Linked DNA regions of Macaca mulatta. The protein of the gene in region 1 binds, or shares a complex with, the protein of each later gene. Links are inferred from orthologs where the notes say so. Each region holds a gene or a part of one and is shown in the gene's direction. Other genes may lie near its edges.

Evidence for each region. The genes of interacting proteins can lie anywhere in the genome.
Region 2: LSM11 (region 1) and LSM10 share a complex: the UniProt entries of both Homo sapiens proteins name them as parts of the heptameric ring U7 snRNP complex. The link is inferred for Macaca mulatta from reciprocal best matches to the Homo sapiens genes LSM11 and LSM10.

Annotation. Positions count from the first base shown.
Region 1 is NC_133411.1:166,620,674-166,628,748, forward strand, and holds the start of LSM11 (U7 snRNA-associated Sm-like protein LSm11), read left to right. Parts: upstream 1-2,722; 5' UTR 2,723-2,733; coding exon 2,734-3,181; intron 3,182-8,075. UniProt on the Homo sapiens protein: Component of the U7 snRNP complex that is involved in the histone 3'-end pre-mRNA processing. Increases U7 snRNA levels but not histone 3'-end pre-mRNA processing activity, when overexpressed. Required for cell cycle progression from G1 to S phases.
Region 2 is NC_133406.1:204,391,623-204,399,667, forward strand, and holds LSM10 (U7 snRNA-associated Sm-like protein LSm10), read left to right. Parts: upstream 1-3,791; 5' UTR 3,792-3,879; intron 3,880-7,119; 5' UTR 7,120-7,143; coding exon 7,144-7,515; 3' UTR 7,516-7,845; downstream 7,846-8,045. UniProt on the Homo sapiens protein: Appears to function in the U7 snRNP complex that is involved in histone 3'-end processing. Increases U7 snRNA levels but not histone 3'-end pre-mRNA processing activity, when overexpressed. Required for cell cycle progression from G1 to S phases.

The DNA of each region.
Region 1 (8,075 bases):
AAAATAGAAAAATTAGCCGGGCGTAGTGGCACGTGCCTGTAATACCAGCTACTCAGAAGGCTGGAGCAGGATAATTGCTTGAACCTGGTAGGTGGATTTTGCAGTGAGCTGAGATCATGCCGCTGCACTCCAGCCTGAGTGACAGAGCAAAACTATCTTAAAAAATAAATAAATAAATAAAGTAAGCGACAACCCATGTCCCAGTGCCTCGTCTTGCACTGCAGAATTTACATCTAAGAAGAAAACGTATTTTTCAAAGGGCGGTTGCTGGCCTCATCCCTCACTAATTGACAACCCATCTGTTGATGCCATTTTTTCCCTTCCTGTTCTCACTCCACAGAAAGAGGAGATATGGTTCTTGTTTGGTAATTGCTAAAATCTCTTTGAGGAAAGAAATAAAGATGTCAACTCCTTTGGCTTGCTTTTTCATTTATTTTTCTTAGACAAATAGACTATATGATATCTAACTTTTGTGTATATCTTCGGGTAGCCCAGGATACACATACCCTCATCATACCAGTGGTTCACAAACTTCTGGATGCAAAAAAAAAAAAATTACTTGGAATGCTTGTTTAAAATGCACGTTTTTGGCTCCTCCCAGCCCCCAGGAAGGTTTGAAGCTCAACAATCTGATTTTTTTTTTTTTTTTTTTAAATTTGGAATCTCGCTCTGTCAGCTCACTGCAACTTCTGCCTCTCGGGTTCAAGTGATTCTCCTGCCTTAGCCTCCTGAGTAGCTGGGACTACAGGCATGCACCACCACGCCTGGCTAATTTTTGTATTTTCAGTAGAGACGGGGGTTTTCACCACATTGGCCAGGCTGGTCTCGAATTCCTGACCTCGTGATCCGCCCGCCTCAGCCTCCCAAAGTGCTGGGATTACAGGCATGAACCACTGCACCCAGCCAGTAATCCAATTTTTAGCCCCAAAGGCTTCTGATATGTATGGTTGTCAATATACAGCACCTTGGGCAGCAAGGCCCTCGGTATACTGTGATAGGCTGGGTGGGAAGTAAGATAATGTAGCTCTTGATTGGCAATTTTAACTTAATGGTAAGTTGACAGCATTTTATATCAAAATACAGAAAAGTAGGCATTAGAGTACAAATTTTCAAGAAAACCACCTAGAGAAACGTGCTTTCTGTGGGTCTTAAATGACACTATAAAGGCTATCACTCAGTGTTGTTATATGATGTGGGGATAAGCATTCATTTGTTGAATTGCCAGCAGTTCTGCAGCTTCGAGTTTTTTATTCAGGCAGGGGGTTCTGAATAAAGTGATAAGCTGCGTTCAAAACCTGTGCCATAAAGAAACCTGTACTGCTACTAATTAGAAGCCACTGCTTGGTTTTTCTTTTCTTTTCTTTTCTTTTTTGAGACGGAGTCTCGCTCTGTCACCCAGGCTGGAGTGCAGTGGTGCGATCTCGGCTCACTGCAACCTCCGCTCCTCCAGGTTTAAGCAGCTCTCTCCCTCAGCCTCCGGAGTATCCGGGATTACAGGTGCGTGCCACCATGCCCGGCTAATTTTTTGTATTTTTAGTAGAGATGGGGGGGGGGGGGTATCACCATCTTGGCCAGGCTGGTCTTGAACTCCTGACCTCGTGATCCACCTGCCTCGGCCTCCCAAAGTGCTGGGATTACGGGCGTGAGCCACCGCGCCCGGCCTGCTTGATGGTTTTATCTTTGCAGTAGAATGCATTCATCCCAAGGTATACATCACAGTTGTATATTAATTTTCATCTTGCTGTCTAAGGTACTCTCCAGTACTCTCTTGGAGACATCCTCTCTAAGTCTTAAGGAAACTGAAATGTACACAAAGCAACTAGTACAGAGAACACTAGTTGATGGCAGTTCAAGAATGTGGTGATGGGCAAGTGATGTGTGGCCTGTAGGTAAGTGGAAACATTTTGGCTCTGATGGATGAGAAGGTTGTATCTGGGCCTTCTGTGTAGAGTAGACTGTCATTTTAAAATCAACCAAAAAATATTTTGCCGAACTGAGACTATAAAGTAGCAAGTGGTATGATCAGGTCTTGTGAATTTTCCATAGTTTCCTCCAAGAGCTGGATCCTCGTTTCTTCCAATTGCTTAGCAATGCTTAGAAAGACAGTGATATAATTAATTTTCTTTGATACTAAGCGCAAATTTGTTTATGCACAGTGTATAGGAAATGGAGGACAGACACCCAGTATTGGCCGACATGCATCTATTATGAGCTCTGTAGGCAGTATCTCCCCATCCTGAGGTCAGTTCTATAAGGTAGGTACTATTTATGTCATATTTCAGATGAGAAAGACGCTAAATACTTTGAGCCCAAGGAGGCTATTCTTCCTACCCCATCAGTAGTACTCAGCATGGAAGCAAATTGAGACATTCATTGCCTTCCTCCAGACGTTTCCTGCAGCTCAAGCTAGGATGCGATCCCGAGCTTATTCCCGGGGAACCCAGAGTATTAACAAACACCCTAAGTGGTAATGATATAGATGGGGAAACTGCATTGGAGCAGGTCAAGCAGCAGCCGACAGCGTTAACCTGTCAGCCGTGGGCGGAGGCGGTGCGAGGCGCGGGCTGGTCGGAGCCGCGCACCACGCCCCCCGGCCGGGGTGGAACGAGGACAGGTGCTGCCCTCCGGCGGCCGCGTCGGCGCAGTGCAACCCCGCGCCGCGGCTGCGCAGTGCCGCCCTCTGGCGGCTCCGCTCCTTCTTCCCATCGGCCTCGGCTTGCGGGCCTTTCAAACATGGAGGAGCGGGAGCGGGGGGCGAGGTCGGCTCGCGCCGCGAGTCCCGCGCGCCCGCCCAGCCCGCGGCTGGATGTCAGCTCTGACAGCTTCGACCCGCTGCTGGCGCTGTACGCGCCCCGCCTGCCTCCCATCCCCTACCCCAATGCCCCCTGCTTCAACAACGTGGCGGAGTACGAGAGCTTCCTCAGGACCGGGGTCCGGGGCGGCGGGCGCGGGCGCGGGCGGGCTCGGGGCGCGGCCGCGGGCTCGGGGGTTCCCTCCGCGCCCGGGCCCTCAGGCAGGACTCGCCGCCGCCCGGACGCGCCCGCCCCGGACCCCGAGCGCATCCAGCGTCTCCGCCGTCTCATGGTGGCCAAAGAGGAAGGGGACGGAGCCGCAGGAGCGGGCCGGAGGGGTCCCGGTCGAAGCAGGAAGGCGCCACGCAACGTGCTCACGCGAATGCCCTGTGAGTCCGCGGTCCGGGCGGGAAGCGGGGCCGCCGCCGTCCGGAAGCTGGCGGCCGAGGGGGCGTCTGCGGGGCGGCGGTGGCCGGGCGCGGGTCTGCACGGATTGTGGGAGCGCCTTGGAGATTTGCGGGGATCAGCAGCGACTGTGGGGTGGAACTGCTTGAGTAATGTGGGTAATGACGGCGTGGGGAGGGTCCCTCTGAGTAAGAAAAGGGGCTGTAGGAGCAACAGAGGGAGAGTGGTGAGGCTGTAGTGGTGATAAGAAGCCGTGGGAAAGGTCTGTAGAGGTAATCGGGGCCCATGGAAGGGTCAGAGGTGATGAGCCTGCGGAGAGGGTCTACAGGATTGATGGAGGACCTGGAGAGGTGGCGGGGGCTACAGAGTTTGGGGGACATCAGAGGGACGTCTGCAGAGGTGATGAGAGGTCTTAGAGACCACAGTGAGAGGTAAGGTGGGGCGGAAAAGGAGACGTGAGGGGAGAGCACAGCCAATATTAGGGGAAGGAGAGTATTTGGTCAGTGGGATTTGAGGAGGATCGGATGGAGTGTGGGGAGATCTGTTCAGATAGCACAGGCGCATAATCCCATAACCCCTGTACATTGACAGCTCCTTCTTGAGTGCGATAAGCAGAAGGGCTGCAGGGTCTTGATACACATATGTTCACATTACTAAGTCACAAGTGCTGAAATGCAGCAGGCACAGAATGCCTCTAAAACACAGACGCTGTTTTACAGCCACTCTGCCTGGCTGGGTGCAGGACTGTGTCTGTCAGGCTCATATTACCATATGTGCAGATTATTTTAAGTTCTAAAGGTGTAAATGGCACAAGGGAATTTCTTGGAGCCTCCTAATAGATCCTTAGAGTAAAGCTGTAAACAGCAGAGGCTCTAATGTGTGAGTTAAGTCTTGTATAAATGGAATAAAAACAGCCTAGGGTTATCTCTTTTGTCATCTGGCAAGCAGTTCTGACATCTGCCCTGTGAACACAATGACCTACTTAGCTATTCAAAGCATCTGTATCCTGGTAATTCAATTGTTACCTTATTAAGTCACTGCCTTTTGGATGGAGAGGTGTGCCAAGCAAGGGACTGATTTTCTTCCTTCCTAGAAATTTGTTTATTAAGAGAGAAACATCCTGAAACGCTGTGTGCTGTTATGTGTGCCTTTGCTGGTTGTCTTACCATGCCACAGCATCCCTGCCCAAGCTAGGATTTACCCCGGCTTGCTTTCCCGGCTGTAACACAAAGACAGTATGCATGTTCCCAAAACGAGAGCAGTTTGGGGGACCTTAATTTGCCTATGCAATTTGCCACCATTAGCTAGTTGAAATGCACTCTTAAGTCTCATTGCAACATTTATTTCTATTTTACCAGTTATTGCGTTGCTACCAAGATTATCAAGGGAAAGGAATATTACTGTGTATTGCTATGTGGTGGGTGGTTTTGGCTTTCCCTGTAGAGCACTTCACTGTAATGATATGACAGTGTGTGAAGACCGGCTTTGTCAACTTCTTGTGATTAAGTATACCCCTGGAATTAAGATCTCAGAGAATGTGTCCTACATACTGAAAATTTTCACCATGGCACTGCAGACAGTTGGGTGTACATGAGAGACAGGTGTTGACGTCACACAGAGTTGACCTTCAGAAAGCAAGAAAACAACAGAAACATGGGTGAGGATTGGATTTATTCAAGAAAGAGTTCCTACTTGAGGGTGAAGGGTGGGAGGGGGGTGAGAATCAGAAAACTACCTATCGGGTACTATGGTCACTACCTGGGTGACAAAATAATTTGTGTGCCAGACCCCAGTGACACACGATTTACACATGCAGCAAACTTTTCACGTACCTCCTGATCCAAAAACAAAAGTTGGAAGGGAAAAAGAAAAGAACTAGGTATATTTTATATGTATGCCACAGTTTTAATTTAAAAAACTATATATACATATATATATATATGCCTACTCTAAACCCTGATTGGATACAGTTGCTCAGAAAAATCAAAATATAGATAACAGTAAGATAAAACTATTTGTGGACATATACAAATGCTTTCTGGAAAAAAATGGCTATGCATTTGAGAATGCTTAATTCTTTGCAAAATATTTACATAAAATGTAAGTTACATCAGGCCGTAACAGCAAACAGAAGGTTTGTTAGGTCATATCATCAATGAAACATAATGAAGAATACAGGAGGAGCTACATTTTGTTGCTGACTTTAAAATGCTGTATTTCATCAATTCAGATCCAAGTTACCCATCCAAGTTCACAGACAGGACAGTGTGGAAGGAGTGCAAAATTAAGTGTAATGGTGTTTTAACCATAAAATGTTTCACTTTGTATCTCTGTCATAGAATCTCTTTGAAGTCCCTTGTGGAGCAGTCCTATTCTTTTCCTTGCAGTAATAAAATTTTAAAAGTAGCCAAGCACAGTGGCTCACACCTGTAATCCCAGCACTTTGGGAGGCTGAGGTGGGCGGATCACTTTAGGCCAGGAGTTCAAGACCAGCCTGGCCAACATGGTCAAACTCTGTCTCTACTAAAAATAGAAAAATTAGTTGGGCGTGGCAGCATCTGTCTCTAGTTCCAGCTGCTCAGGAGGATGAGGCACGAGAATCGCTTGAACCCTGGAGGTGGAAGCTGCAGTGAGCCGAGATCATAGGACATCATAGGGATGTCTACAGAGGTGATAAGAGGTCTCAAAAAAAAGTAATAATAAAAGTATAGGAGGCTGTTGCAATACTGGGAATACTAAAGAAAAAAAGAAAAAGCATAGGAGGAAAGGTTTTTCATAATCATTAAGCCTAAGCCATCATTGATTCCACATTTTCTCCATGTAAAGAACTCAAGCACAAGCTCTACTTGCAAGTGGAATGTAATTGCTTTTCCTCCTTTTTAATATTGAGGCGCCTATAGAGAACGGTAAGACAAGACTAAAGAGCATTATCATCCTCTTTTCCACATAATTCTAGTGTCTATATTTCTCCTTAGCATCGCAGCACCATACCTGATCCACAGTGGTTCTGGTTTATAATTATGCTTTGAGCAAGCTTTTTCTAGGTATATCTGTCACTGTGAAACGAACTGGTGTATTCAAGCTAACATCTTGACATTATAAAGCTGTGAGAAAACGTGTTATCATTACTTTGTTTTAGCTACAAGTGTGTTGGTGTGCAGCCTGTGCCGGTATGAACAAGTGTGTGTGGTCAATCCAAAATGCATGTGACATGCAGGATTTGACTTCTAGACCACTGTCTAGGTGAATGGCTTGTCTCCAGTTCCAAATTCAGTTCTGCAGGGAGCCTACACACTCCTTTTACTCGCACACATCCTGCTGAGAAGGATTTCAAAACAAACCTGATTTATTGGGCCTCTGACATAATACCACGATTGGAAATTTGTTCGAGTCCTGTTGTTGTAGTTTACTTTGATTGCTGAAATAATTTCCCACAATATGGTGTCTTGATGTTTTCATTTTAATAAAGTGATATTCTTTGGATAACTTTGATTTCACTACCTGCAAATAAAGAGCAAGAAAATAAGCAAAATCAAGAACATCTGAGCCCTGCATACAGCAGTAAAGTGAACTCTCAAATTTGAACAGCATCTCTGTTACACAGAGGTTGCCAAAAGTGCATGAGTATGACTTACATAAAACCGAGAACAGGGGTACTTAGGCTTCAAAAAAGGCCAAGCTTAAAATTCAACCTTGTCACTTTTCTCAGCTCATTGCAGCTGTCTCCAGTGCAACTAAAGAATAGCCTCAGATGATTTCTGCACCACACTGCTGTGTGTGTGTGTGTGTGTGTGTGTGTGTGTGTGTGTGTGTTGGCCAGTTTGACATAGCATCACAATAGGGAAGACACTGGTGTGCCTTTGCCAGGTAACTGATTCAAACATTGTGCTTTAAATCTGTCATGGCACCCTTCTATAGAATGGCAACTAAAACTGTTTTCAGAGAAAAGAAAAAATATTTTTCTATTGCAGACTCATAAGGTGACTGTTACAGTTTGTGGTTTCATTTCTCTGGGCCCTTAATAGGTTATGGAATCTGGGGAGCTGCCTATGCCCTAATGAGCTAATAACTTTGTATATTTGGAGATATATATGTAGATACAGTTTTGTCCTTAAATTTTCTTTGAATAGGTGGTTGTGGAGGCTAAACCAACTCCATCTTGAATGCTAATCCACCGTGTTGATTTCTGATTAAACCCAATTCTGGGAAGGCCTCTAAGATTTCCAATTTATCTGTTGTTCCTTGTGTAAGAGCACGTACTTACTGTAGCTCCTGTCCTTACGTGAGAACAACCTTGATGTTAACTTACTTCAATTGTCGTACACATCCCTTCTGAATCACCCTTTCCCTATAGCATGTAAGCCCTGCGTCTGGGGGTCATGGCAGGGGGATCCATCATCTTGTTTTGCCGCCACCTGAGACACAGACGTGGCTTCTCTTCCTACATTCCTACTAAATATTTCTAAGGAAAACAAGAGTTCCCGTAAGAGGTAAGTTTTAGGTCTTTAAAGAAGGGCATGATTGAGAACAGTTATTTTAAAATCAGGCTGTGATGGTATAATTTACATGTAGCAGGAGAAGGAAGAGTGGAGCTGAAAATGACCTGGATCTGGAAGGGTGTGGCAGTAGAGAAGGGGATTGGAAGAGTAACTTTCTCCAAAGATAAGGCGTGTGCTTTTTTGTCGTATTTTGTCATAGAAACCTGACACGTCCATTTGGAGCTTGCCACAGAGACGGCTGGAAAGAGAGTGTGCACTCTGATTCAGAATGGGGAGCTCACTTTTGCCCTGGCGGTTTGCTCTGATAGGTGGTGCTAGTGTTGTACTTTTGATCACACACAAGGAGAGCAATGCTTCCTGAAATTACACCTTATTAAAT
Region 2 (8,045 bases), on another chromosome or scaffold:
TCATTGATGCCTTCCAGCCAATTGGATGGTACTTTTTCCAGGCCCACCCATGGCCACCCATGGGCCAACCAGCATGCACTTCCTCCATTCTGAGCACATGAAAACCCCAGACTCAGCCAGCCTCAGACACTCCACAGGACCTGCCTGCAGAAAGGAGCTACCCACTTCAGGCCTCCCGAGAGCTGTTCTGTCACTCAGTAAAGCTCTTTCCTGCTTGCTTACCCTCCAGTTATCCACATAATCTCATTCTTCCTGGATGCGAAACAAGAACTTGGGACCCGCCAAACAGCGGGAGTGAAAGGAGCTGTAACATATTCCTGGCCAGCTCAGCTGAGCTGCGAGTGGTAACACACTCCCAGACTGCAGGAGTGAAGAGTGGGGACCCTTCTGGGGAACCACCCTCCACCAGCGGGTAGCTGCGCCACATGACAGGAAGCAGTGGCGGGGCCCAGCCAGCCCAGGAGCCACGGGCCAGAGCCGGGCCGCACAGGGCGGTAGGACTGAAAAAGCTGTAACATACATGGACTGAAACACGCCCCCGCCCCCAACATGCCCCGCCCCTGCTCCTCGGGAGGTGAAAAGCAGCAGCCCTTTTTGGGACCCAGACCTCGGGGCTCCCCAAGCCAGGGCGGTGACACACTGTAACACCCTCTATGGGGCTCTGTGGTTCCTGGTGTCTCTGAGCTTTCGGCCACCACTGTGTTCCCCTTGTCCAGATGCTGGTGCCCAGAGCAGAAGCCACTTGCGGTATGTCTGGTCCAGCTGCTGCCTTGCACAGAGCCAAAGCCTGTGCCGGCGCCTGGAGCTGCCCGTGCCGGGGCTTGGAGCTGCCCACCCGCTGCAGCAGCCAGCATATCTGGCTGTGTGTAGTGGTCGGACCCTGTGCTCACTCACACACCCCTCACGGCTCCACACCTGGCACGCCTTTGGCAGGCGTGGTATCCGGGCCCGTAGTGCGAGCTGAGCTCAGCCTCCAGACTGAGCGGGCAGAACGAGCCCAGCAGGCACAAGCAAAAGTCAAGCACAGGCGCTCCTAGCCACAGAGGTTTCCGCATGGCAAAGTGACACCCTAAGGTTCTTGTGACAGCTGGGACTATAGGCGCACCCACTACACCCAGCTAATTTCTTAAAACATTTTTGGCCAGGCTCGGTGGCTCATGCCTGTAACCCCAGCACTTTGGGAGGCTGAGGAGGGCAGATCACCTGAGGTCGGGAGTTCAAGACCAGCCTGATCAACATGGAGAAACCCGGTCTCTACTAAAAATACAAAAATCAGCCAGGTGTGGTGGCACATACCTGTAATCCCAGCTACTTGGGAGGCTGAGGCAGAAGAATCACTTGAACCCGGGAGATGGAGGTTGTGGTGAGCCGAGATCGGGCCATTGCACTCCAGCCTGGGCAACAAAAGTGAAACTCCGTCTCAAAAAAAAAAAAAAATTTAGAGATGGGGTCTCACTATGTTGCCAAGGCTGGTCTCAAACTCCTGAGCTTGAACAGTCCTCTTGCCTTGGTCTCCCAAAGTGTTGGGATTACAGATGTGAGCCACCCTGCCCAGTCAAGAAGCCTAACTAACTGAGCTGCTTCTCTGTGCCAGGTGCTTTCACACATTAATGAAAGTCACTCAAATCTCCCAGTTCTCTGAGAAAAACCTTATTTTTTGTTTTCATAATAAGGAAATTGAGGCTGAGGAAGAAAGTGATTTTTCCAAGGCTATACAGAATGACTTTTAAAAAATGTAAATCAGGGGCCGAGAGCGGTGGCTCAAGCCTGTAATCCCAGCACTTTGGGAGGCTGAGACGGGCGGATCACGAGGTCAGGAGATCGAGACCATCCTGGCTAACACGGTGAAACCCCGTCTCTACTAAAAAATACAAAAAAACTAGCCGGGCGAGGTGGCGGGCACCTGTAGTCCCAGCTACTTGGGAGGCTGAGGCAGGAGAATGGTGTGAACCTGGGAGGTGGAGCTTGCAGTGAGCTGAGATCCGGCCACTGCACTCCAGCCTGGGCGACAGAGCGAGACTCCGTCTCAAAAAAAAAAAAAAAAAAATGTAAATCAGGTAGGGCACAGTGGCTTGTGCCTGTAGTCCCAGCTATTCTTGAGGCTTGGGCAGGAGGATCACTTGAGCCCAGGAAGTTGAGGCTGCAGTGAGCTATGATCACATCACTGCACTCCAGCCTGGGTGACACGGTGAGACCCTGTCTCTACAAGTAAATCAAATCACGTTGCTCCCTTTCAATAGCCTATCATAGCACTTCTAGTACTAGTTGAGAAGACGGAAGCACAGAGAAGATAGCTAACTTGCCCAGTCACAGCCAGGAGCAGATTTGAGCCTAGGCACTGTATCCGGAGGCTGCACTCCTAACCATGAAATCTAAACTCCTTACCTTGGCTCACAAAGTCCTATATGCTCTGGCTCCTGCTTCCTCTCTGGTCTCTTGTTATACCACTCTCCCCAGCTTCCCTGGCCTTTCCTGTGTTCCTAAATTGTCAAGGTCATTTCCCCCAGGTTCTTTGCATGAATTGTGAAAAGAAAAAAATTGACTTTTAATTGGTGATTTGGCTTTTATTTGCTAAATTTGTTAAATTTGGGTTTTATTTGCAACTCTAGAATTGGGCAACATCTCATTCTATAAAACGGAATGAGTGTTCAAATAAGCTGAGCAGAGGAGATTAGTTTTACAGACAGAAAAGGGCTGAGGAAAGCAGAAACAGAAAACAAAAAGCAGATTGGTTGTTTCAAAGTTACTTTCCTTGTAACTTTGAAGGCTAAAGCAGAGGGGACTTCCTTATCCTGCCAGCTAAAACTGGATGGTTTGGAGATTTAAGTATCTCTCACTCTTCTGATTTATCTGAATATCAGATAAGCAACTTAGTTTCCACTTGGTGATGTGGAACTTTAGCATGAGTGACTCCATTTTGGTTTTGTCTGTTGGGCTTGGTGCAGGAGCCCTGTCCAAACCAATGGCTGCCTTTTTTTTTTTTTTTTTCTTTGAGACGGAGTCTTGCTCTGTTGCCCAGGCTAGAATGAAGTGGTACAATCTGAGCTCACTGCAGCCTCCACTTCCTGGGTTCAGGCAATTCTCCTGCCTCAGCCTCCCGAGTAGGTGGGACCAGAGGTGTACACTACCACAGTGGGCTAATTTTTTCTATTTTTTGTAGAGACAGGGTCTCCCTATGTTGCCCAGACCAGTCTCGAACTCCTGGGCTCCAATGATCCTCCCGCTTTCTCCTTCCAAAGCGCTGGGATTACAGGTGTGGGCCTCCGCGCCCAGCCCTGCCTCCTATAAATTTTATTTAACAAACTGTTCCCTCTAATTGCAATGCTCCGCCCATAGTTTTCACAAGCTTGGCGTCATGTCACTAATCCCAACTCAAATGTCACCTTCTCAGGACACCCCTGACAATCCAATAAAAGACCACCTAGTCACTACCACGTCACACTTTCAATCTTCTAAAGAACTTTTTCCCTATTTTTCTTGTTTGTTTTCCTAAGACTCTCTCCCCTGCAGCGCCATCAGCTCGGGGAGCCACTTGATCTTGGTCACTGCTCTATGCCGGAGCCTAGGAAGCAGCCTGGCCCAGGGTGCCCGTTCAAGAACGCGTGCGGAGTGAATGAACGACTAGTGAAGGAGACTTCAATGACGCAGGCCGGCATTTGCTGAGCGCGAGCCCCGCGCCGCGAAGCATTCTGGGAATCGTAGTTTCTCCGTGCCGCGATGACTCGCAGAGCACAGACGCACTCTGCGCCGGGAGGACAGAGCGGCCCGGTCGCCGGCGTGGTTTCTCCGTCCTGCTGCAGCCGGCGGGAGGCAGCCCGTCCAGGCGCCCGCTAGCTTCGGCGGCGACCCAGACGGGGAAAGCGGAAGGAATGTCGCGTGGTGGGTCCGGGTCGGCGGTGCAGGGAGCCGCGGGGCGGAATGTGGGGTATGCCAGGACCTCCGGAAGGAGGTGCCGGAGCCCAGGAAGCGTTTTCTTCCCCATTTACCGAGTATAGCTCATTTCCCCAGACCCGCTCCCGCTGCTCTGAGTAAGGGGTGCTCATCCCGTTTTACCGGTAGCTTAGCTAGCTTGGAGAAGCTAAGTGGTTTGCTAAGTGGTCTCCCTCCTAGAAGGTGGCAGAGCCTGTCCTAGAACCCGGGCCTGACTCGAGGTCTAGTGATTGCTCTTTGCAGTCGCAGCAGCAACCCCATACCTTTGCTTGATCGCAGATTCGTCAGGCTGCAGCCTGGTGGCTGGTCGTTAGGCCCTGCCCAAGGACTTAGCTCCCAGCCCCGCTCATCACTGGCCTAGTCTAGCTTGCCACGCTCAGTGCCACACTGCACAGCCCTGGACGGGATGCTGAGTGAGGTCGTAAAGAGAGAGCGTTGCACCCCCGTTAACTCAGGGTCTGAAAATAAGGGATAGGTAAGACCTAGTGCACTAATACAATATCGGGGTACGTTGAAATCAAAGGAGAGTACCTTCAGTGGAGTGTGATTCTGGTAGCTTTGTTTCGCCTGTAGTTTAATAAATGTGGAAACAGGTTCAGAGACATTAACTTTTCTAGGTTTACATAATTAGGGGTGGAGTGGGGATTCCAGCCTGGGTTTCTCTACCTTCAAAACCTATGTACCTTATATACTACCGGTTGGGTTTCCCCCCCCCCCCAATTCATTATCTAGATTTATTTTCTTTCTTTTTTTTTCTGAGAGTCTCGCTCTGTCACCCAGGCTGGAGTGCAGTGGCACAATCTTGGCTCACTGTAACCTCTGCCTCCTGGGTTCAAGCGATTCTCCTGCTTCAGCCTCCCAAGTAACAGATTACAGGTGCTCCCATGCCCAGGTAATTTTTGTATTTTTAGTGGATACTGGGTTTCATCATGTTGGCCAGGTGGGTCTTGAACTCCTGACCTCAGGTGATCTACTCCCCTTGGCCTCCCAAAATCCTGGGATTACAGGCGTCAGCCCCTGCGCCCAGCCTCATTACCTAAATTTCTACTTACCTAACAGCTGCATGGTATAGACCAATAGTTCCCAGAGTGTGGGCCCCTGACCAGCAGCATCAGCATCACCTGGGAATATGTTCGAAATGACTCTCTCTGGCCTCACCTCAGACCTCCTGAGTCAAACTGGGAGTGGGGCCCAGCAAGCTGAGATAACAGGCCCCTCAGATGATTCTGATACACACTGTATGTATCAGATGATTCTGATAATGTATGAGAACTACTGGTGTCAAGCACCGAGTCTCAAACCTTCACGTGTATCTAATTCACATACGGGGTCATGTTGAAATGCAGAGTCTGTTTCCAGTCAGTGTGGAAGAATGGCAGTGAGCCACTCAGTGAAGGAGTGGATTATCTCAGAACAGGCCTGGGGAGAGACCTGAGATTATGCATTTCTAACCAGTACCCCTCAGCACTTTGGAGTTACCTGGGGAGCTTTTTTTCTTCTTCTTTCTTTTTTTTCTTTTTTTTTTTTTTTTTTTGAGATGGAGTCACTCCGTCGCCCAGGCTGGAGTGCAGTGACGTGATCTCGGCTCACTGCAAGCTCTGCCTCCCATGTCCACGCCATTCTCCTGCCTTAGTCTCCCCAGTAGCTGGGACTACAGGTGCCGCCACCATGCCCGGCTAATTTTTTTGTATTTTTAGTAGAGATAGGGTTTCACCGTGTTAGCCAGGATGGTCTCGATCTGACCTCATGATCCGCCCACCTCGGCCTCCCAAAGTGCTGGGATTACAGGCGTGAGCCACTGCGCCCGGCTGGAAACTTTTACAAAATAGGAAATCTGGGCCCACCCCTCTAACCAAATGAATCAGAATCTGGGGTGGGGAAGGTCGAGTTAAAAACTCGCCAGATGATTCTAATGTACACCTGGTGTGAGGTTTGGAGCCAGGCGGCTATGGATTTTTTTTTTTTTTTTTTTTTTTGAGACAGAGTCTCTCTCATGCAGGCTGGAGTGCGGTGGCATGATCTTGGCTCACTGCAGCCTCCACCTCCCGGATTCAAGCGATTCTCCTGCCTCAGCCTCCGGAGCAGCTGGGATTATAGGTGCACACTACCATGCCCGGCTAATTTTTGTATTTTTAGTAGAGACAGGGTTTTACCATGTTGGCCAGGCTGGTCTTGAATTCCTGGCCTCCGGCGATCCACCCGACTCAGCCTCACAAAATGCTGGGATTACAGGTGGGAGCCACCATGCCTGGCCTACGGCTACGGATTTGAATTCCAGCAATTCCACTTATTTACTGTGACCTTGGTCAAGTTACCTCTCCTAGCCGTATTTTTTGTTTTTAAAAGTTATTGATTTATTTAAATTAATGTATTAGGAATGATACTGACTTTTGTTGTTGGTCCTAATAATTTATCTTGAATTCTCAATGTAGATAATCATATAATTGACAAACAAGGACAGTGATCTTCCTTTATAATTATTGTTTCTCTAAATTCTTTCCCTTCCCTTCTTTCTGTAATCGTTTTTTTGAACGTTGCATTGACCATTACCTACGTTTTACTGTTGATTAGAAGCCATAAAAGGCATCCTTTTCTTGTCCCTGGCTCAATAGAAATGATCATCATTTTCTTTATTTTTTGAGACAGAGTCTTGCTCTTGTTGTCCAGGCTGGAGTGCAATGGCGCGATCTTGGCTCATTGCAATCTGCCTCCCGGCTTCAAGCAATTCTCCTGCCTCAGCCTCCTGAGTAACTGAGATTACAGGCGTGTGCCACCACGCCCAGCTAATTTTTTGTATTTTTAGTAGAAATGGTGTTTCACCGTATTAGCCAGGCTGGTCTCAAACTGAGTGGATCTCGCTATGTTGCCCAAGCAGGTCAGCAGAACTCTTGGGCTCAAGTGAAGCTCCTCCCTCAGTCTCCTGAGTAGCTGGTACTACAGGTGTATCCCAGTGTGCCTGGCCATCCTAGCCATATTTTTCTCATTCATAAAATAAGCATAAGTAATCCTTGGCTTGCAAGTTGGTGTGAGGATTCCATGAGACATGTGCGGGAAGTATCTGTGTCCACAGATACAAAAATTGCAGAGGTGGTCTGTGCTGGGAATTTTGTTTGAGAACCTGGTGGAGGTGAGTTGGCAACTGTACCCCCTACCCTGCTATAGCTGCCATCTGTGTGCTCCTGTCCACAGCAAGCAGGCAGCTGGTGTGGAAGAATGGCACTGAGCCATTCAGTGAAGGAGCGGACCATCTCTGAGAACAGCCTGATCATCCTACTGCAGGGCCTCCAGGGCCGGGTAACCACTGTGGACCTGCGGGATGAGAGCGTGGCCCATGGACGCATAGACAATGTCGATGCTTTCATGAACATCCGCCTGGCCAAAGTCACCTACACGGACCGTTGGGGGCATCAGGTCAAGCTGGATGACCTCTTTGTGACAGGCCGCAATGTCCGCTACGTCCACATCCCAGATGACGTGAACATCACCTCGACCATTGAGCAACAGCTGCAGATTATTCATCGGGTGCGGAACTTTGGTGGCAAGGGCCAAGGCCGGTGGGAATTTCCCTCCAAAAACTATAAGTGAGGCCCTCAGCAAGCCCTGGCCCCAACTCGGCTTCCTCCAGTGTTCTCTGGAGCCAGCTCCCTGCCCTCACACCCTGTCTAGAACCCGAGAAGAGAGCAGGGCCAGGCCAGAAGCTGGTGTCCAACAGACACCACCTGTCAAAGCTGCGTTTCACAGGGTTCCACCTCCCAGACTCCCTCTGGGACCCAGAATCCTATCTGTCTGTGGCCTTGGGGTAGGTGACAATCCCCCTTTTTGATGATCTGAATCTCTGACTTATTGATCATGGAACCTGTCAAGTAGTTTTCAACTCTCCCAGTGAGGATAATTAAACATGCTCAGTCTAAGCCACCTCTAACTGTCTCCATTCCTCTTGCAGTTGTGTTCATTTTCTTGTGAAACCCAACTTGAATACAAACAGGTCCATGCCCCAGGCCTTCCCTTCTGTGTGCTGGGCTCCCAGACCGTCCTGTGTAGTCGGGGGCAGACTCAAGCTTGGCTGCACATTGGAATCACCTGTCCCACCCTCAGAGATTCATATTTCGTTGGTA